Mus musculus: one gene and its partner. The protein of the gene in region 1 interacts with the protein of each later gene in a pairwise test. Links are inferred from orthologs where the notes say so. Each region holds a gene or a part of one and is shown on either strand. Other genes may lie near its edges.

The links.
Region 2: the proteins of Nudt21 (region 1) and Myl6 interact in binary tests that used the Homo sapiens proteins (3 or more experiments, as listed by UniProt). The two-hybrid records come from large-scale screens. The link is inferred for Mus musculus from reciprocal best matches to the Homo sapiens genes NUDT21 and MYL6.

What each region holds. Positions count from the first base shown.
Region 1 is NC_000074.6:94,027,600-94,038,228, forward strand, and holds the start of Nudt21 (cleavage and polyadenylation specificity factor subunit 5), read right to left. Parts: upstream 9,441-10,629; 5' UTR 9,294-9,440; coding exon 9,178-9,293; intron 4,904-9,177; coding exon 4,703-4,903; intron 3,609-4,702; coding exon 3,545-3,608; intron 1,326-3,544; coding exon 1,236-1,325; intron 1-1,235. Other genes in the region: prolyl 3-hydroxylase OGFOD1, read left to right, coding at 9,690-9,843. UniProt on the Homo sapiens protein: Component of the cleavage factor Im (CFIm) complex that functions as an activator of the pre-mRNA 3'-end cleavage and polyadenylation processing required for the maturation of pre-mRNA into functional mRNAs.
Region 2 is NC_000076.6:128,491,087-128,502,261, reverse strand, and holds the start of Myl6 (myosin light polypeptide 6), read left to right. Parts: upstream 1-8,375; 5' UTR 8,376-8,450; coding exon 8,451-8,453; intron 8,454-8,695; coding exon 8,696-8,723; intron 8,724-8,908; exon of another isoform or gene 8,909-8,928; intron 8,929-9,216; exon of another isoform or gene 9,217-9,323; intron 9,324-9,516; coding exon 9,517-9,660; intron 9,661-9,859; coding exon 9,860-10,033; intron 10,034-10,125; coding exon 10,126-10,203; intron 10,204-10,497; coding exon 10,498-10,526; 3' UTR 10,527-10,542; intron 10,543-10,914; coding exon of another isoform or gene 10,915-10,964; exon of another isoform or gene 10,965-10,972; intron 10,973-11,175. Other genes in the region: Myl6b (myosin light chain 6B), read left to right, coding at 4,891-5,061, 5,621-5,648, 5,866-6,009, 7,035-7,208, 7,595-7,672, 7,779-7,807. UniProt on the Homo sapiens protein: Regulatory light chain of myosin. Does not bind calcium.

The DNA of each region.
Region 1 (10,629 bases):
TGGACTCATATGTTTGAACAAACCTATGGGGACCAGAGAGTGGCACTATTAGGAGGTATGTTCTTGTTAGAGTGGGTGTGTCACTGTGGGCATGGGCTTTAACATCCTAGTCCTAGATGCTTGGGTAGTATTCTGCTAGCAGCCTTCAGATGAAGATGCAGAACTCTCAGCTCCTCTTGCACCATGCCTGCCTGGATGCTGCCATGCTCCTGCTTTGGCAATAATGGACTGAACCTCTAAACCTATATGCCAGTCTTAATTAAATGTTGTCCTTATAAGAGTTGCCTTGGTCATAGTGACTCTTCACATCAATAAAACCTTAAGAGAGAGAGGGTCCCATTTTCAGCACCTGTGGTAACTAACAACCGTCTTAACTATACTTCCTGGGACCCACTTCCTCCCTCCGACTCCCCAGGCATCAGACATATATATATATACAGACACACACTCATACACAAGAAAGGAAAAAGCTGTTTGGTCTTAAAAATGGTTTTTAAATCAAAATTAAGAAATGGGAATAAGAAATGGGAAGCTAAGGTCTACTCTGATTATTTTTTCATTTTTTATTTAAAAAATTTCCATTTATGGGGCTGGAGAAATGGCTCAGTAGTTAAGAACACTGGCTGTTCTTCCAAAAGACCTCGGTTCAATTCCCAGCACCCCCAAAGCAGCTCACAACTGTCTATAACTATAGTTTCAGAGTATCTGACACCTACACAGACAAACATGCAGGCAAACTACCATTGACCACAAAACAAACAAAAACAAAAAGACATCTAATATTTCTTTTTAAAAAAAGGTGGTGGGAGGGTAATTGAAGAGATGGCTCAGCAGTTAGAGTCACTCACTGGCTGCTCTTTCAGAGGACCCAGGTTCAATTCCTAGCATCCAAATGGCAGCTCGCTACCATATGTGACTCCAACCTCCAGAGATCCGACATCCTCTATGGCTTCCACAGGATACATACATTCAGGCAAAACACACATATACATAAAAATAAATACATCTTAAAAAAAAAAAAAACGTTTTCACTTTGTGTGTGTGTGTGTGTGTGTAGATGCCACAACATTGTCCTATCCTTCTACCATGTGAGTTCCAGAGATCAAACTTGGGTCATGAGGCTTGGTAGCAAACCCACTGAGCCACCTTACTAGCCCTTAGTCACTCTTTAAATGTCTTGAATTAGTGACTTTTCTGCTTTACCAAATGCCTGGTGAACACAACTGAATACTGACCTGAGGAGGTTCAAAATTTGGTCTCCACCAGTTCCCAATGCAGTCATCAATGACCCAGTCTTGCAGGACTCCATCTTGACGACCAAGTATCTGTGCAAAGTAATATAGTAATGAATACACACACCTGAGAATTCCCTTCTGGGTTCAGTTGTTTTGCCCAGTATTTATCTCTATGTTGACCAGTATTTCTTTTTTCCAACTGCCGTAGAATATTAGGACAGGCCGGGCACTGCCATGATGCCTGCACCTTTCCCCGACTCTGATGATCTTATAACACATCTGTTAAACCAATGAATCAATATCATACTAAAGAAACCCAGACAGTTTATGGGTATCTTTAATTTCTGCACCTAATGTCCCTTTTCAGGCCCAGGATCCCATTTAAGATACGATACTTATGCCATCAGTTTCCCCGAGGCTGCTCTGGACAGTGACAGTTATGATAGTTTGATGATCTTGACAGATTTGAGAAATGCGAGTTAGGATTTTTGAGTAGTATTTCTCAGTAACACTGAGATTCTGGCACGGAAGATAACAGAGGTAAAATGCCATTCTAATAGGATATCAAATCATATGAAAGGGTCATGTTATCAATATGATTCACTGCTAGTATGAACCATGATTACTTATCTGAGGTAATGTTTTTATTCCCACACTATCTGAGAGCTCAGATCAGTTTTCAGTTCAAACGGCAACCATTACCCGTCTTCCTTTTCCTCTATCAGTCTATTCTGCTCTGGCAACAGCCCAGTTCACAGCTGAGCACAAGGCCTTCTTTGGCCTGTCCCCTACAGCACTGCACATTCATGGTCTGATTATTATATCATTCCTGCCTTATTCCTTCATCTTGAAAGCAAACTTTCTCTATTGTCTCCTAAGAAATGGTATAAGACAGTACAGTTTTGAAATTTCTGCAAGAGTTTAAATAACTATTTTTTCCTACAGTTGCTTTACAGTGCATGTAGCGATCACAGGACAAGAGATCACAGGACAAGCGATTACAGGACAACTCTGTGGACTCAAGTTTCTCCCTCCCGTACAGGGGTTCTGGAGATGGAGCCCAGGTCGTCAAGCTTGGTGACAAGCACCTTTATTAACTGAGCCATCCCACCTGCCCTGCTAAAGTCTTCTAAGCGGCTCCTCGATTCACAGATACAGCACTTCCGCTATTACTCCGAGAGAATCATGATTTTTGTGACTCATTTAGCTTCCATTTTGGCTGAATTCCTTTTGCTTTTTTAGACTGTATTTTCGTAAAAAGGTCTCTTCACAAGCCAATGATATATCTGCTCATTAGGTGCAGGAGTTCTGACACAGCTATGCCCCCTCGTAAGACTTCAAATAAAATCACCTACTTTTCTTGGACTGGTCACTCTGCAGAGCAGAAATCTCCAGTCTTCTGCCCAGTACCACCTCTCAGCTAGGAACGGTACTGTTCTGTTCCACACTGACGGCTGCTCTCAGTCCTACTTCACAGCGTGACTCCTACACTGCTTACTAGTCAGGATCCAAGTTTTCAGATATTCTCCCCATCTCTTAAACATTTTACTGCTAAATGTTAGCTGGTTTAGTGCCCACTGACTCAGTCAATAGTCAGTCCTGGCACAACTGGACAGAATGGGAAAGACAATATATATCAATATAACCTTTATAGAGTCAACCAATCCAGCTGACGCACGGGCTCACTGGCCCTGGAAGCTAGCACGGGCAATCCCTCAGCCTCTCCGTTCTTCTCCGCTGCGTTTCTGACGGACATCCTGCTGAGCTCCATTTCTGCTGAGTCTGCTGTGGTGTGCTCCACAGCCTTCTGGCTCTCGCTTAGTTATGACTTCATCTTTTTGTTAAGGTCTCATTTTTGCATTCCATAAACACTACTGAATTTTATACCTTTAAAAAAAAAAAATGACCTTTCTCCTGACGTTTTGGTAGTTTTCAGAAGAACCAGAGGAAACGTGAGTAGCTTTCCTCGGAAACCGCTACCAAAGCGGCACCTGAGCATTATTGTTTCATCGACATTTTAGTTTATTTAGCAATTGGGTCTCACTCTGTGTGGCCCAGCTGGCCTAGAACTCACTATGTAACCTAAATGGTCTTGAACAAGATAATCCTTTGATCTCAGCTTAAGATCTCAGACATATTTATTTTCCAGAAAACAATTTATACTAATTCAGATTTAAGTTCTACTTACTGACTAAAAACTGCTCAAATTAAATTTATTTCTACAAGACACATGAGAATTTGATTATTTATTAAGTAGATAGTATTCAGATGGGCAATAGAATTGTGAAAGTGGTTAAACAGAAAAATACCTCTGTCATTAAGCGTTTTAGTCCTTCAACTTCATCTTCTCCTGGGTTAAGTTCCCCACCAGGTCTGTAAAAGTTAACAAGTTCACGTTACAATTGAATACAATTTGGGGATAACAGCAAGAACACAACTATCATCACTTCAATCGGGTAACTGAGAAGACACATTCCAGTGACATCTGATAAGCCATCAAAACAAGGGCCAAAGGTGGAGGCTGTGCTGGGAAGTTGAATCTATAATATTAAGTACCAGACCACTGTATACAATCCTAAGTTTAAACAGCAAAACTAGTGTATATATAATGAGCACAATCACTGGCCAACAATCCATGTCAGCCTCCTCAAAGGAAAGCTAGATTTAATGGAGTTTAGCAAACAAATACCCAGAGAACAGACTGCATTCTTAGATCTGAAGAATGGGGACATTTTCTTTTTTTTAAGAATTATTTATTTATTTTATGTATATGAGTACACTGTAGATGTACATATGGTTGTGAGCCATCTTGTGGTTGCTGGGAATTGAATCTCTGGTCCCCCATCAGATCTCATTACAGATGGTTGTGAGCCACCATGTGGTTGCTAGGAATTCAACTGAGGACCTTCAGAAGAGCAGTCAGTGCTCTTAACCACTGAGCCATCTCTGTAGTCCCGAATGGGACATTTTTCAAGACTATCAATTTAGTTTTGAGGCCTTTCTTTCTCTCTTTTTTTTGTTTGTTTGTTTGTTTGTTTGTTTGTTTGTTTGTTTTTCAAGACAGGGTTTCTCTGTGTAGCCCTGGCTGTCCTGGAACTCAGAAATCCGCCTGCCTCTGCCTCCCGAGTGCTGAGATTAAAGGCGTGCACCAGCACCACCCGGCAAGGCCTTTCTTTTTGGCACAATCTGACCAGTGGGCAAGTAAATATTTAGAGTCATAAGCTCAAGTGATTAAGCTACATGAAAACAACTGAATTCAGTAATAGTCCCATCACTTTGAGAAATCGAGTTTGGCCTAATGTAGCTCTATGGAAAGGAAATAAGCATTGTACTGGAGAAAAGTCTTTTCTTCAAAGACTCATTCATGGTACTGGTTTAAATAAATAAAGGTTAGACTTTTATTTTAAGCTGCATTAAAACAGTCATTTTTTACACGTTGTCCTGCTGTTATTTCTAACACTACTTACAATTTGAAGAAAGTTGTCCCCAGCTGCAGCAGGAGCACGTGGGGCAGGCGGTGTTCATGAACAATCAGAACCCCTTCTACAGTCCTTCTCATCCCAATCTTATCAAATTCCTCCCTCATGCGCTGAAATCTGGCTGCAACAGAGCTGTCCTTCTCATAGAGGGGCTCCTTTGTACCAAAAGTATAATTGGTAAGCGGGTACCTGTGAGCCAAATACAAACATTAGCATGAGAACCAATGCTCTTATTTACTTACCAGGACAGTTCAAAACAACACATACAGAAACCATACAAACACATACAAAACTACACTGTGCCAGACCAGTCAAAGCTTCGTAAGCAGCTATGAGAGAGCAGAGAGCAGGGTACTGCTGCTGCCTGATTCCTGAACCCAGCTCTTCCATTCCTCAGTCACAGACAACACTGCCCTAAGGTCCCTGAAATGCTTAGCCAAGTGTTTATCTATACTGGCTTTAGATCATTTCATGGCACTGATACCAGAAGTAGCAGCCTGGTTCCTCTGACTAATCTAGTTACAACTTCTATTAACCAACCTGTACTAACAGCTAATCTGTTTTCTCCTATGTGCTGAGCCACCACTGTCTATCAGCAGCTCTCTAGTTGCTTGCCTTTTAATATCTTTAAAAATGAGTGTTTGTACACATATATGTATGGTGTTCTACAATGTGTGTCTGTGCTCTCCTTTCACCATGTGGCTTCTGGGGAACTGAACTCACATCAACAGTCTTAGCAGCAAGCACCCCCATCCTTAGAGCCACCTCACTGGTGGTGCCAATTATTCTCTGTTCCTCCCAGTTAACAAATAGTCAAATTTTTCTAGTTCCTTTTTTGGATCAACTTTACTTCTTCAGTTTTTGGCTGCTTGTTTTTTCATAGAGCTGACCTGGAACTCACTTATTTATCAGGTTGGCCTTTAACACTGAGACCCACCTGCCTCTCCCTCCCAAATGCTGGGATTAAGGTCATGTAGTACCAGTGGCTTAGACCTGTTTTCTCTTTCCCTCTGAGCCTTGTGTAAGAGAACCCAAACTGTGACTTAAGGTGTCAGACTTCATCTTGCTTAGTAAAGATCAAATCCATATTTACACTGTACCACAGTCTACCTTGCAACCCCTTGAATATAGTTTTTTTCCCCAGTAAGAATATTTTGACTGAACATGGCTAATCCCAAAGTATTTCATCTACCAAAAACCCCTTGATATAGGCCTGGGAAGATAGTAAAGTACTTGTCAAGCAAACATGAGGACCTAAATTCAATCTCCAGCTCCCACGGTTGGAGAAGGTTTTGTGCACTGTCTTCTCAGATGCTGATTTCTATGCCCAGACACCTGGTTACAGTCCTGACAATGGCATGGCCAAGTACCTTCAGTCTCAATGTTATGTAAAAACTGGTTTCCATTACCTCTGATGCGTTAATAAAGAGCTGATCTGCCAATCAGCTGGGCAGAAGAGAATAGGGCAGGACTTCTGATCCCAGTATGTGGTCTCAAAAGGAGAGAGAGAAGGAAGAAGGTGGAGAGAGCAACCAGGGCCATGAGGACACACATGGACCAGACTAAGCTAGGGCGAGATTCAGACAAAAGACCATTTGGCTGGGTATTGGCAGCCTAGTTGAATTAGAATAGCTCAGAATCTGCATGGCATAGTGGCTGCGGCTTGTTAATAAGAACACCAAATCCTTTTATTCAGGATAAAGTGCACACTGAAATGTTTTGTCACTACCTGGGAGCAAAGGGGAGAGAGAGGAGGGGATAGAAAAACCCCCAGAACTACATTTACAACCTACCAAAAACAAACAATAAAACCCACCAACCAACACACACACACAATCTGAGCACAGTAGTCCCAATATTGTGGAGATGAAGACAGATGTATTTCTGGGGTTCACTAGCCAGCCAATCAGCCTAGCTTACTCTGCAAGTTCAAGGATGGTGAGGGACTCTCGTCTCAAAAAAAAAAGTGGGAAGGGAGGGGCTGGAGAGATAGCATACGTAGGCACACCTGCAAACACTACAAAACTAGGCTGCTGAGATGCTCATGTGTAAAGCACCTGACATGCAAACTGCATCTGAGGTCCAATCTCCAGAACCCATGCAAAGCTGGCTGCAGTCGGAACACCTAAAAGCCCAGTGCTCCCAAAGCAAGCTGGAGGGCAGACAGAAAAATCCCCGGAAGCTTACGAGTCAGGTAACCTGGCGCAGATCAAAAGAGACCCTATTCTCAAACAAGGTGGACTGGCTCCTGAGATTGTCCTGACTTCCACACATGTGCTGTGACTCGCACAACATACATTCACAAATGCTGTGAACACACACACATATACCCCACATACACAACTATATATATCTGCATGAATGCATATAGCACACATGTGCAACATGCACACACACACAAACCAAACCAAAAAACCCTCTTGACGGTAATAGACAACTACATACTCTCTCTCCTCAGTTGTTCTTGAGAAGGGAAATCAAGGTAGCCAAAAGGAAAAGATTAATTCCAGAGGTCAAATTCTAAACATAAAGTAGCTCTAAAATAATAAAAACATGCCATTTTCAGGGGACTTTAAAGACTATCAACACTTTTGCGGTAGATCCAAAAATGAATCTTATACCAACAATATTAGGAAGAAGTTACTACACACAGTTTTATGTACTGTACAATGCATTACATGAGTTAACTTTTGGTTTCCCCAACCTACATTACAAAGAATTGAGACTAGCCACAACACATTTCTATTGCAAGGGCTATCTCCTACATCCCAGGATCTCAGCAGAACGAAATGTTCCAATTTCTAGCTGTGAAATCTGAGCAGCAGCCCACAAAGAGCATATTCTCCCCCACATCATACTGTAGGCATCTTAAAGCAGAGTGTGCATCTACACACCGGGCCATGTGCATGCACACAGTGGTACACTGGGACCCATCCAGTGTTTCCTGAATGGGAATGGACTGCAGAAACAAAAGATGTACTTGCTACTTAATGGGTAACCCCCTCAGGTGAACTCAAGTTCACAGCACAACAATTTTACTTCTCAACACTGCATTTACACAGGAAGCAAAAGTTACGTGCTCAACCTGCAAAACCGCCTGCTCAAAGTACATGGATTTCAACAACTCTCCCCAGTGGCTGCTGTCAACAGACACAGTAATCAAGGAGAGTTTAGAGAAGACCTATGGTGAAGTCATGCTTCCAATTTTTCACTTTTTTGAGGTGCTGGCGATAGAATCCAGGGCATTCCACACACGAGGCAAGCCCACTACCAGTTAGCAAACAACTCCTGTGCTCCTCCACTCTTTTTAAAGGAGCACTCGCCTCTCCCATTTTATGGGAATCTTATAAGCACTTAAGTGACAGAAAATTAAAGTGCTACTGTGAATTGTGGGACAAAAGTAAATTTGCACAGACACGACTGTCAACTATTTCCACATTTTATAAACCTTGCATTTCATTACCGAAGTTTGCGTGCCATTACTTGTTTTGTCAAAAACAATAGTAGTAGTTGTTCTTGAGAACAGTTCTCAAGAGCTCAACAAGTTTTCAACTTCATGTCACATTTAGTTTTAGGAGGAATGGTTTATTTACTTGAATATGAGAGATTTGTTTATTTATTTGAATATGAAAGGTGAGTCACTAAAATGACTTACACAAACCCCACTCTCAGCAATGTCTTGCACATTTTAAACAAATAACCAGTCTAAACTGGACACTTTTTTCCCATTAGAATCAGCTCCACACTAGGGAATGAGGTACCAAACATTATAAGCTATATCCCAATCTCAATTTCTTGCCACAACAAAATTTTGTTTGAGTGATCCCGAAATGCAATCATCTGCTTAAGACAAAGGTTTGTTGAAAACAAAACAGCCTGCAAACAGGCTGTCGGGACAACATGTAAGGTACCTCCGACCTCTGAAAGTACAACCAGACAACAGAGTGTGTCCTCGCAATTTTAGGTCTACTGGGAGTCTGCAATGATACTGTATGTTGGCACTTTGGTAGACAAGACATACAAATGCAAAAAGGTAGACCAAACAGCGCGAAAATTAATAAAATGTGGCCACTGGATGGAACACTACCCAACATTTAAAGGGGGAAAAAAAAAAACTAGGATGTCAGAGGTTAATCTGGAAAAGTTACTGTAAAAGAAATGTACACCCTACAAAACTGAGAATTGTTCAAATAAACACAAATACATGTGCGATGAAACAACCAGCAACGGATTGAAAGGATACACACATTATGAATTCAAAGCAAACGCAGGTTCTAACCATGGCTGAATGAAGGGAAAGGGGGAAACGAACCTCGCTTTTAAAATAGGAAAACTGCCAAGTCGGGGTCGAGAAACAGGTCTAGGAAAGAAAGCGCGCATCCCGGAAGGGACAACCCGCATCCGGCGTGAGGGAGGAGCGCGCACTGGGAGAGCATCAACGGCCGAGGCCGCGCCGCACTTACAGATTAATGGTGCGCTCCAGGGTGAGGGGCTTGGTCTGCTGGATGTACTTGTTGCCGAACTGGTTGACCCCCCGGGGCCAGCCCGTCTGCGAGCGATTGGGCGGCACCACAGACATGCTGAACAGCTCCGACGCCGGGGACGTGCAGAAAGCGGGGGCCCGGGGAGACGTCCGCGGGGCGGGCAGCGGTTATCTGCGTCCCGCTCAGCAGCCACCACCCGCCATTAACAGTCGAGAGCAAGAGGCGCGGAACACACGCCGGAAGTGAATACGCTCCGGAGGCAGGAAGTTGGGAGGCAGGCCACTGCGACCATTTGACCAATTGCTGGCGGCGTGACGCAATATGTTGATCTCCCATTGGTTATTTTTGTGGAGATCCCGCCTCCCTGTGCTTTACTGCCTTTCCATTGGGTAATGCTGGTGAAATAAGGAAAGAGGGTTTTCGGGAACTGTAGTTTCTGGAGGGAAGTAGCGTCCTGACTTCCTTGGCGTGGGTCTGTGCACCGTGAGAAGATGAACGGGAAGCGGCCGGCGGATCCTGGCCCAGCGCGGCCAATGAAGAAGGGAAAGAAGCAGGTATCGGCAGAGTTTTCGGACGCTGTCACTGAAGAAATCCTGAGGAAGCAGGTGGCTGAGGCCTGGAGCTGCCGGACACCGTTCAGCCATGGTAATGGGGTGCTGTAGGGAGGCGCGGCAGCAAGAGGTGTGGGGAGGATCGCAGCCACCTCCGACCCGGGCGCTGACTGCTGCTCGGTTCATTCCATATTCTGCTTGATTTGGCAAGCCTGGGGAGGAAAATAAATATAAGCTCCGGACACTATGGGGAAGTGGGAGACATGTAGCCTGGGGGTTGAATTCTAGAATCAGAGGTCACTCAGAATCCCTCTGCTGATTGTACGTCATTGGGCAATGCATATAACTTTGCTTAAGGGCCAGTTTCTTCGTTTATAAAACGGAATCGTTAATAGTATTCCCCCTCCGAAAGATGGGATTGACAAACTAATGTTTGTAGACATTCATAAACGTTTCCTTGAGAACCGGTAAATAGCTAGCAAGCGAGGGTCACTCTCCGCTGTTACGTGGACTGTCTAACCCACGCTGGTGTTGAAAGCTGCCAGAGAAGCAAGCACCTGGATTTACCAGTTTTCACGTACCTTGTCGTTGGCCTAAGTGACGCACAAAACCAACATAATCTTGAAAGGAACGATCATTCCAGACATAGCTACAAGTTATTACCTTATACAATGTGACTCTGGCTGGGTGCGTCTTGAATTTTCTCAGACTTGCCGATTGTCTGTTTCATTTGAGTGTTTAAACAGGGGAACCCCTGGGCGCTCAGGACGCAGGCAGAAGATGATTACATAAAATGCAGGCTCCGGCTGCCCAGAGACTTCTCAGTTTCTTTGTCTGTTGCAAAGGCGTAGTGACTATATCATCGATTCCTCAGTTGTAG
Region 2 (11,175 bases), on another chromosome or scaffold:
AGGCCAGGCCTCTGTGTTCTGCACTGCTTTGGACATTTGTATCTTCCAAGCTCCCACAGAGCATCTCACTGTGCTCTGAGCACTCAGTGCTTTCCCAGCCCAGAGCTCAAATGCCACAACCCTCAAACATCGAACAGTAAACACGTATGGCCAGGCATCTCTGTCACAGCCACAGCCCCCGGTCCCGGTAACAACTCCTGTCTTAGGTTTTTTTTTTTTTACTACTGTATGAAACACCATAAGGAAAAGCAACTCAGAAAAGGGTTTGTTCTGTTTACCTTTCCAGGTTCTGTCAGTCCAGCAAGGAAGTTAGGGCAGAAACCTGGAGGCAGGAGTTGATGCAGGGTCATGGAGTGGTGTGGTTACTGGCTCGCTCAAGCCTGCTTTCTTATAAAACCCAGGACCACCAGCCCTGGGATGGCACCACCCACAATGGCTGGGCCCTTCCCCATCAATCACTAATTAAGAAAATATCCAGGGGATGTGGGGGAGGGGCGGATATTGGGATGTAAAGTGAATACATTAATAAAAAAAAAAAACAAAGAAAATATCCTACAGGCTTGCCTACTTACCTTATGACAGGCATTTTCTCAGTTGCAGTTCCCTCCTTTCAGATGACTCTGGCTCCTGTCAAGTTGACATAAAAACTAGCCAGAGCTTCTGTGTTATGTCTGAGTAGCTTGGTGGTTCTGTGGGAATCCTAACCATGGGAGTGGGGGCTGTCCCCGATTCTTTTGCCTGCTTATGGGACCATTTCCCTTACTGAATTGCCTCGTCCAACCTTGATGTGGTGCGATGGATGTGCCTATTTAAATATGCCGTATTTGATCGATGTCCCTGGGAGGCCTGCTCTTTTCTGAGGGAAGCTGGAGGGGAGTAAATCTGGGGGAGAGGGGAGGTGGTGGGGGAGGGACAGGGGAAGGGGAGAGAGGGGAAACTGAGGCTGAGATATAGTATATGAAAGAATTAAAAAAAAAAAAGCCTGGCCAGCACACTTATCTTTGCTATCAATTTTTTTTTTTCTGTTGACTTAGAAAGTTAATGTCCGAGCTGCTGAGATGGCTCAGTGGTTAAGGGCACTGACTGCTCTTCCAAAGGTCCTGAGTTCAAATCCCAGCAACCATATGGTGGCTCACAACCATCTGTAATGGGATCTGACTCCCTCTTCTGGAGTGTCTGAAGACAGTGACAGTGTACTCACATATAATAAATAAATAAATAAATCTTAAGAAAAAAAAAGAAAAAGAAAGTTAATGTCCAGCTGGGCAGTGGTGGCGCACGCCTTTAATCCCCACACTCGGGAGGCAGAGGCAGGCAGGTCTCTAAGTTTGTGGCTGGCCTGGTTCTCTGAGGGAATTTGAGGCCAGCCTGGTCTACAGAGCGAGCCCAGGACAGGTGGGTGTACTGAGAGTTCTGGTTTCTTTAAAACCCCCTCATGTTATGTGCTTTTGTTTTAAGCCCAAGTGTGGGATATGGGGCTTCTTCAGTTTGTCCTCAGCCACTATGATTGTCTTGTGCTCCAAGAGGGGCATGGTTTTGCCATCTGCAGATAGTTTAATTCTAGAGACTCTGGAGAGGATATTAATACAAGGGCCCCTAGAAGGCCTACGGCAGCTGCTCCCCTTGCTGTTGCTGGGATGCTGACTTGCCCCTGGGAACACCACAACCTAACCAAGGAAGAAGCCTGTGGAGGTCTTCGTCCTCTTTCCTCTGTAGCCTTTCTCTCCTACCTCATGTTGTATTGGGGCGGGGGGGAGGGTTAGAAGGGAGAGAATAGTATAAGAACTCTCAATAAAATAGATAAAAAAGACAAAAGTCAACAGCCAAGCCTATGCAGAGAAACCTTGTCTCAAAATAAAAATAAAACAAACACAAAATCTAGTTGTATAGGGTGAACCCACAATTATTCAAGTTTCTGAAGTGATACACTGCTGTGTGATTATCACCACTTCTTTCCTTTCAGGGCTACGAGGGTAGAGCGCTTGCCTGGCATGCAGAAAGCTCTGGGTTAGACCCCAAGAACCTTAGAACACAGAGTAACAGGGAGGCAGGGCAGGCTAGCCAGTGCAGCAGCAGACTGAGGCCATTGAAAAACGTAAACAAAAAAGTCACACCGGACCACATATCTATTAAGATAAAACACAGCCAGGCATGGTGGCACATACCTTTAATCCCAGCACTCGGGAGGCAGAGGCAGGTGGATTTCTGAGTTCGAGGCCAGCCTGGTCTACAAAGTGAGTTCCAGGACAGCCATGGCTATACAGAGAAACCCTGTCTCAAAAAACCAAAAAAACAAAAAACAAAACAAACAAACAAACAAACAAACCAGGGGGGGTGGGAATCCTTTTTAATGGTGATGGAGACTGAACCCAGAACCTGAACGGTTGTAGACAATTGTTCTGCCAGCCAGCTCTAACTTCAGCCCTTATTCACTGTTGTTTTGAGTCTCACTGTATAGCCCAGGCTCGTTTGTCCCCCCCCCCCCCTCACCCCCCGACTTGGGATTACATTTGTGTTATCACCAAGACTGCTTTCTTGTTCTTGCTTTCTAGTTTAAGACAAGCTCTCAGGCGTCCCTTCCCTTTCTGCTCTGAAACTGGATCTTATGTAGCTCAGGCTGGCCCGAAGTCCCTACGTCCCAAAGACATCTGATTCTTCCTGTCTCCACCTCCTGAGTGCTGGGACCCAGAGCTTTGTGCAACCAACTGTGCTACATCCCTTGCACCCGTACAGACCTTTTTACTCAAGCTTTTTCCAGCCGGGGAATGTCCGTTTCAGGGTACAAAATTGGCTTGTGCCTCATTCTTCCTATGGCGCCGCTGGGAGTCTTCTACCCTGAGCTATTTCTGGTCCACTTGCTTGCACAAGCTCTAGTATGAGGCGCGCCGCCAGAGTTATTTATTCGTCTGTTTCGGGACGGTGGGCCGGTTCCCTCTCTGCACTCAGACATTTGCTAAACTCCAGGGAGAAAGTGCAAATACTCAGGCTGGGCAATGGTGTCGGAAAGGTAAAGAAGGACTGCAGAGCCCAGCGTTGCATTTGTTGGGTATCTCGGGGGGGGGAGACCGCGGTGCATTGGCGGCCTCAGCAGACGCCTCCACAAGGAGGAGAGTGGAAGCAGATGGCCAGGCTAAATTGTAAATCTTAACATCTACTTCAGTCAGTCTTTCGACCACTATCAAATGTGAAATAAATAAATAAATAAATAAATAAATAAATAAATAAATAAATAAAACGCAAAACTCTGCCAAGTTACACCATTCCGCAGCTAACAGCCTGAGGAAGCCCCCGCTGCCGCCCCGCCCACCGCCCGGCCCCTCCCACCGCCCGGGCCGGCCCCGCCCCTAGCCTTGCGGGCGTCTGTGGGTCTGCAGCCGCAGGGTCATGGGTGGGGACAGCTCAGGCCCTTTCAATTCCGGAACCGGCGCACGCCTCAGGACCTGAGTCACCAACTGTCACCAGGGGCCGGAAGTCACCACCAACTCTCACGGCTGGGAAAAGGTTTCCTGTGAGCCTGCGGGTGCTCGCGGACTACGACTCCCAGCATGCTCTGCGGCAGCCGCACTTAACCCTTCAGGGACAGGAGCTGCCCTGAGTCCCGCCCCCCACCTGCCCCTTCCTCGGACCCGGCAAGGTGAGTTTTGAGGGGCTGGGAGGGTCTTTTTCCTCTCTAGGGCTTAGGAGTGAGTGAAAGTGAGGGAAACGGGCGTTTTGTTTAGGAAGGATTCTTTATTTTCCAAAAATGGGACAATTTGCAGTAAAAAGATTCTGACGCCCTTTTGCAAATGGGAGACCCACTGCTACTCTGCGAACTCCAGGGCCTAAGTGGAATGACCAGTCTCTCAGAATGCCATGTAATTCTTCTTTATCCAAGAACAGAGTAGCCAGAACCTCCTAGCTCCCAAACATCATCTTTTCCCTTCATCAGCGCTTCCAGCAAGGTTTGTGACTCAAAGCTCAGCTAAGGTTTTTGATGTGATCCTGACCAATGGTGTGTCCGTGTGGATACCTATGAACTCCTTTGGAGGTCCTGTAACCTTTTGGGTTATTAGGGGGCTCTTTGTCTCCCAGGGCCCCCTCCATGTGTGTGTGTGTGTGTGTGTTCCCTCCATGCTCACTAGGCATTATAGCCTTTTGTTTGATTTGAATAACATTGTCTTGTTGAAAAATGTTCCTTCTTTGGAATTATGTGTGACAGATGTTAAGCCTTGCCTACACTGGAACCCCTAAACCAACATTAGGTATAGAAGTCAGTGGGTAATAACACGCTCGAGTTACTGTGCATAGTTTAAGGTTGGGGGTAGGTGGGGGCCCAGGGATTACAAGTTCTAAGGATACGGGAAAAGACAGAAGGGAGTGCAAAGGCCTCCTCTCACCTTTTACTGTTTCCAGAACAGATTTTAAAACTTCCCACCTGATACCAGCCCCCCACCCCTCTACCCCGACTCCACCCCAAGCCCTTGCTTTGCTTGGGCTTTCCCACGGTCTAAAACTAATGCAAGTTTTTGTTTGTTTTTCTACTTTAGTTTTCTTCTTTCTCCCCTTAGCTCCTATCTCAGAATCACTGGCAAACATCCTATCTTCACCCTGGAGGTTAACAATCCCTATTCTGACAGGTCTCGTGTTTCTTCTCTGTACCCTTAAAGAAAACATTCTATTCAGCTGTAGGAGAGTGGTATCAGAGGGAAGAAAACTTTGGGGGCAGGAGTCCTGAACCATAGGAGGCCAGGGGAGTGAGGGCAGACAGGCATAAGTCTCTTCCCCCTCACCCTTGCCAACTGGCTCCCTGTCCCTGCTGCTGCCCCCGCCCCTTGACATCCCAGACTCCCTGCCTATTTAAACAGAGATGGGTGCCCCCATCAGCACATTGTTCTTTGGCCACCTGACATCATGCCTCCCAAGAAGGATGCTCCCGTGAAGAAACCAGCAGGGCCCTCCATCTCTAAGCCTGCTGCCAAGTCTACACCAGGGACCCCTCTAGCCAAGGCCAAGGCTGAGCCGGCTGCCCCCCAGGCACCTGCAAAATCCCAGGAGCCCCCTGTTGATCTCTCCAAAGTGGTGGTGAGTCCTGGGGAAGTGTGAATCTGGAAGGGATAGTTCAGAGATGCGGTGCAGCCTTGGGTATCCGGGAATATGTGGAAAGGATAGGGAATGAATGAACGCTGGAATGAGGTTGGGGCTCCCAGGTCAGGCCAGTTTCCGAAGTGAAGGGAGAGGGGTGCTGTCTGCCTCTGGCTCTTCTGTTCAACTCAGAAGGCTACATCTCTGAACCCCAGGAGGGGAGACTGAAGAGGGCAGGCTTGTTAGACAATCACAGCTGGGGGCAGGGGTAAATTTAGCCTTTGTTCAGCCCCCAGTTATGTGAGGGATGCAGGACTCGGGGTAGCAGGAGGGAAGGGAACAGGTGGCATGGGATTAACCCTGTTCCCAAGAAACCCTCCCCCTGTAATTCCTCTTGGGATTCTCCCAAGGCCCAGAGCTGGGGACAGGACTGAAGTGGCCCGGCTCCCCGCCTTCATCCCTTTGGGTCCCTCCCCAGAAGTGGCTGCCAGTTGGTTGTGATAGAGAGGGACTGAATAAGCCCTGTCATCTCCTCACCTGCCCTTTTTGTCCCCTACAGATCGAGTTTAACAAGGACCAGCTGGAGGGTGAGGAGAAGCCCATTTCCTAAGCCCCATTGTCAAACCCCAAACTCCTGGTCAGATTCTCTGTTCTAACGACAGTCCTGACCTTGAAACCTCCCACACTTGTCCTGTTCTCCTCCCTCCCATGCCTGGCTCTAGCACATGAATTTCTGAAGCAAACCTCCCTCTCTCTGTTGGTGATGGGGATCCTTGGTCACACTGCCTTCTCCTTACATCTCAGAATTCAGAGAGGCCTTTGAGCTGTTTGACCGAGTAGGTGATGGCAAGATCCTGTACAGCCAGTGTGGGGACCTGATGAGGGCCCTGGGCCAGAACCCTACCAACGCCGAGGTGCTCAAGGTCCTGGGGAACCCCAAAAACGAGGGTGAGAGGAGCCTTGAGTTTTGTGGGGGTTTCTGTTTTCTTCTTGGTGTTGAACGTTGAATACAGGGTTCTGCCTGGGCCATTGAGCTACATTTCTAGCCAGCAACTTTCTCTTCTTCCTCTTTTTCTTCTCTCTCTCTCTCTCTTTCTTTCAAGATAGGATTTCAGTATCCCAGCCAAGAATGACCTTACATTCTGATTCTCCTATCTCCACCTCTTGCTACTGCCCACTAGAGTGGTGGGATTACTCCAGTTTATGTAGTGCTGGGTTGAATCCAGGGCCTCAGGCAAGCCAGGCAAGCCCTTATTACAGAGGTACTGTTTTTTTTTACTTTTTGAGACAGGTGCTCACCAAATTACTCAGGTTGGCCAGGGACCTACAGTTCTATCCCAGCAGCCCCAATCCCCAGTTTTCTTTTTCTTTTTAAATTTTAATTATTATTATTGTTGTTTAGATAGTGTTGTTACTACCACCACTACTACTACTATTACTACTACATAGGGTGTCTCTATATAGCCCTGCTTAGCCTGGAACTCATTGTATAGACCAGGTTGGCCTCAGACTCAAGAGGGACTTCCCCTGCCTCTGAATGCTGGGACTGAAGGTGTGTGGGCTTAGTGGTTCTCTCTTTCTGTTTTGAGTGTGTCCAGCCACTGGGCTACATCCCTGCCTTTCCTTTTTTTTTTTTTTTCCTTTCTGTTGAGACAGTCTTAAGTTGTTCTGGCTGGCTTTGAACTTGCCTGGTAGCTGTAGTTACAAAACTGCACCACCAGGCCTGGCAACAGTTTCAATTTTCAATGACAGAATATTGGTAAGGTGACAGAGGACGCTAGGATGGACCTCAGGACTCAAAAAACGTCAAACACAGGGAAGAGAAACATCCTGAATGCTGAAAGGGATGAAAGTCACAATAGTAGGGTTGGATGGCACTGGATCCCACACCTCAGTTGATCTCTCTCATCTCTATCTAATTGCACTGGATCCCACACCTCAGTTGATCTCTCTCATCTCTATCTAATTGCCAGAGCTGAAGTCCCGACGTGTAGACTTTGAGACGTTCCTGCCCATGCTGCAGGCAGTGGCCAAGAACCGGGACCAAGGCACATATGAGGACTACCTAGAGGGGCTTCGTGTGTTTGACAAAGAGGGCAACGGCAAGGTCATGGGTGCAGAGCTCAGACATGTTCTTACCACTCTCGGTGAGGCAGGGCCCAGAGCTGTGGGGTGGAGAAGTGGGGGGTCCTGGAAGAGCTAAGTAGAGCCTAGAATGGGTTTATGGTCCTGCAGTTATGGGCAGGAGACTCAAGAGGGCCAGCATTGTGGAGACAGATCACCTAGAGGCTAAAGTGTCCAGCTATGAGCCAAGGGCAGGGAATGCAATGTCCCCCTTTGCAAGCCACAATTGTGTTGATTCCATGCAAGTCTCAACCCCGGCAGCTTGTTTCGCTGTCAAGTCAAAGCTTTCACCTGCTCCAAGGCACCGTTGATATGAAAAAGGGCAAGGGTGGGAGGATGAACCACCCTGAGAATGTCTTGGGCTGGTGAGGCAGGGAAGGCGGGGGACTCTAACTGTTTTTGGGTTCAGGAGAGAAGATGACTGAGGAAGAGGTAGAGACTGTTCTGGCAGGCCACGAGGACAGCAACGGCTGCATCAACTATGAGGGTGAGGGGGCAGGATGGCCAGGGAGTAAGGAGACTTGAGGGGGGTGGGAGTACCCTCAGTTACCCGAAGGTCAGTTTCTCAAGTCCTCTCGTCTCCTTTCGTGCAGCCTTCCTGAAGCATATCCTAAGCCTCTGAGCTCCGCAGGTGGCCCTCCAGCCAGCCCCTGGTATCCGCTTGAGAGGCAAGGGTCCTCGATCCACCAGATAGAAGCGCAGGCAGTGCGTCTCCGCGCCCGTCCGTAGCGCAGCCGCCAGGGCTGGACTATTTCCTTCCCCACCCCCCACCCCCTCCCACCCCCACCCCACCCCAGCCCCGACTCCCACCCCACGTAGAACCTGCAGCGACGGAAACTTGCCCCACCTCCTGTGCGGCCAGAAGCGCGTTCCTGCCACTAGGGGGCACTTACAGTTTTGAAATAAAAACATGGTTCCTGCTTCGGTTTCCGACAGTTTTCTTTTGAGAAAGAGGAAGGACGGGAGCGGGTAGTCCTCTCTTCTGCAAAAGCCCAAATCCTCTGCTCTTGGTGCAGCTCGGAAGAAAGGTTTCCGAGAGTCCCAACCCAGGCCCCCCTGCTAGATTCCTGAGCCGAGGTAGGGCGCCCCCCCCCCACCTCATTAATAATGTAGTGATGTCATCTGCATGAGCCCAGACTAGCGTGCCTATTGGATGAAACGGCGGAGGGTGACGTCATGCGCCATGGGACGTACTAAGGCTGGGGTTGGGTAGGGCGTCGGAGCCATTACTGCCGGAAAAGGTCCAGCAGAGCTCAGCAGCCAAGATGGTGGGCCCTGGGAATCGGGAGATCAGGGGGATTTGGGGCAAGGAGAGGACCGCGGGTGGGAGTAGAGAAAGCAGTGGACGTGGGCACGCCCAGGTTTTGGAAGGTTGGCTGTGGGATTGGAATGTCTAGGGCTTTGCCCTGGGAAGCGAATCCTCGGCTTCAAACAGGAGTTTGTAAAGCCGGGATAGAAGCTTGCGGGGTTGGACCTCAGGTAACTGACCAATCCCTTCTTCTCCGAGCAGTGTGACTTCACCGAGGACCAGACCGCAGGTAGGCAGTCTCTGACCCGCAGCTCAGGTCATCCTTACCGAGAGGGACCCCCTTCCTTTAGCATCTATCTTCTGATCCCAACCTGTCACCTCCAGCGCTCCCAGGAGAGTGCCCCGTGGATTTCCTTCTGCTCTAGATCCTCCATTTTCTTTTCTCATTCTTTCTTCCTTCCCCTTCCACTCCAGATCTGAGCCCCAAGCGCTGGGTGAGTTTTAGGTGGTGTGGGTGTGTGAAACAATTTGACTAGTGCCTGTTATGTGTCGGGTCTATTACGCTTGTGGTTTGCTGCTTCTTTTTTTGCCTCTCCTCTGATAACTGTCCCCTCCTTAAGCTTGGATTCTGAGTACTGTAGAGGGCAGTGCCTTGATATTTTGTTAAGATGGGCACTGGAGAGTTTGCTAAGGATGTGGCTTCACCTCTTGGAAGGTCTCCCGGAGGGGAAGGGTGGGAGTGGGAGGCTAGAGTCCAGGCTCTTACTTCCTTATATGGGCAGGACCTAGCCTGGGCGGTGGCAGATTCCTGCGGAGTTGTATAGTAGTGGTGGAGAGCCTAGCCTGCCGCAGCTCAGGGGGTGTGTAAACAGATGGCTACCACCTTAAGGTAAGGGAAAGAAGGTTGCCTGTCTTTATGTGGGGCATTTGAGTTGATAGAAATAGATCCCTAGGAGTAGTCTTGTGTATAGAGGAGGACAAGATATCTGGTTTCTGCAGCATGACTTAAGTTGAATTGGCAGCAGAGCTGTGCAGCAAGCACGGGGCTAATCCCTGGTGCTGCCGTTCTTCTGAATCCTCAGAATTCAAGGAGGCTTTCCAGCTGTTTGACCGAACAGGTGATGGCAAGATCCTGTACAGCCAGTGTGGGGATGTGATGCGGGCCCTGGGCCAGAACCCTACCAACGCCGAGGTGCTCAAGGTCCTAGGGAACCCCAAGAGTGATGGTGAGCATTTCAAGAATGTAGTGGGTTCATGGTTGTTCAGCTAAAGTCATCCCTTTATCTGCATAGGTGCCAAACTTGAGCAAGTTTTGTCTCATCCAGTTCTGATTCCCTCTTCTGGCCGTCCTTGTGTTCCCTACCGTCATGTCCTGAGAACATGTGTGACTTCTCTTGTCTGACACCTCCACCTCCCACATGACAGAGATGAATGTGAAGGTGCTGGACTTTGAGCACTTCCTGCCCATGCTGCAGACCGTGGCCAAGAACAAGGACCAGGGAACCTACGAGGATTATGTTGAAGGCCTTCGTGTGTTTGACAAGGAAGGAAATGGCACCGTCATGGGTGCTGAAATCCGTCATGTCCTAGTCACACTGGGTAAGGGTCTGTGACCTTTCTGGAGCTGAGCTGCCACCTGATATATTTCACCCGTCAGTCACTCAGTTCTAAGAATGTTCCTTCCTCTGCAGGCGAGAAGATGACAGAGGAAGAAGTAGAGATGCTAGTGGCGGGGCATGAGGACAGCAATGGTTGCATCAACTATGAAGGTGAGGGGCAGACCATAAACTGGGGCCTGTGAGGAAATGGTCGTTCAGGAGATGTTAAAGAGGCATTGTATTCCTAGACTTGGTTCCAGAAGGGAGTCGGGAGTCAAAGGGGCAAGCAAGGCTCAGTCCAGCCTGGGAGGGAACTGTTGGGGAGACAGCAGTAAAGGGGGGGGTGATGGAGGACGGAGGGTGGGCTAGGAATGGGACGTAAACAGAATGTCTGTTCCACTGCCTGACCCCTTCACCCCATGTCTGTGTCTTGTCTTCACCATTAATGTCTCTTCCTTCCTGCAGCATTTGTGAGGCATATCCTGTCGGGGTGACGGGCCCATGGGGCGGGTACGGCTCCTCCCAGCCTCTCCTCTAGTTATCTCCCTAGTGTTTTTTTTTCCTTCCCAACCTGTGCTCTAGCCTCTGGCCATACCCTACTACCATCTGCCTTACTCCTGGCATGACTCTGCATGGAGCTGGCTTGGGAGGGGAGAAATTCCTCAATGAGGAATGCAGTTTGGGGGTGTGGTACCTCCTCTCCTAGAATGGTCTCTGAGATTTGACTTACAGGGGTCTTGGTGCTGGTGTCTGGGAACGCTCACCAGCTTGTAGGGAAGGCTGGTCTGATGGTGATTCTAGAGTTGGCGGGGGCAGGGTTGAGCTAACTGCCCCATTCTGCTGCTAAAACAAAAGTCCTTTTTCCATCCCTCTACTGGACAGCGTGGAGGTACCCTAACCCAAAGCTGACCTCTCCTCCTGCCAGTGGCTGACCATAACTGTAGGTGTAGCTGAGAACTTTTCTGCCTCTGCTATGTTCTTGCTATTTAGATTGGGGGTGGGGGCTAACAGCCAGTGGGAGGGGAACCAGGGACAGAGAGAACTGGCCACTCTGAGTGGCTCTTTTGAAAACTGACCCAAGGTTGGTTGCTATGGGCATGTTCCCTCCTGCCACCTTCATGGTCTCGTGGTCTCCTGGCCCAT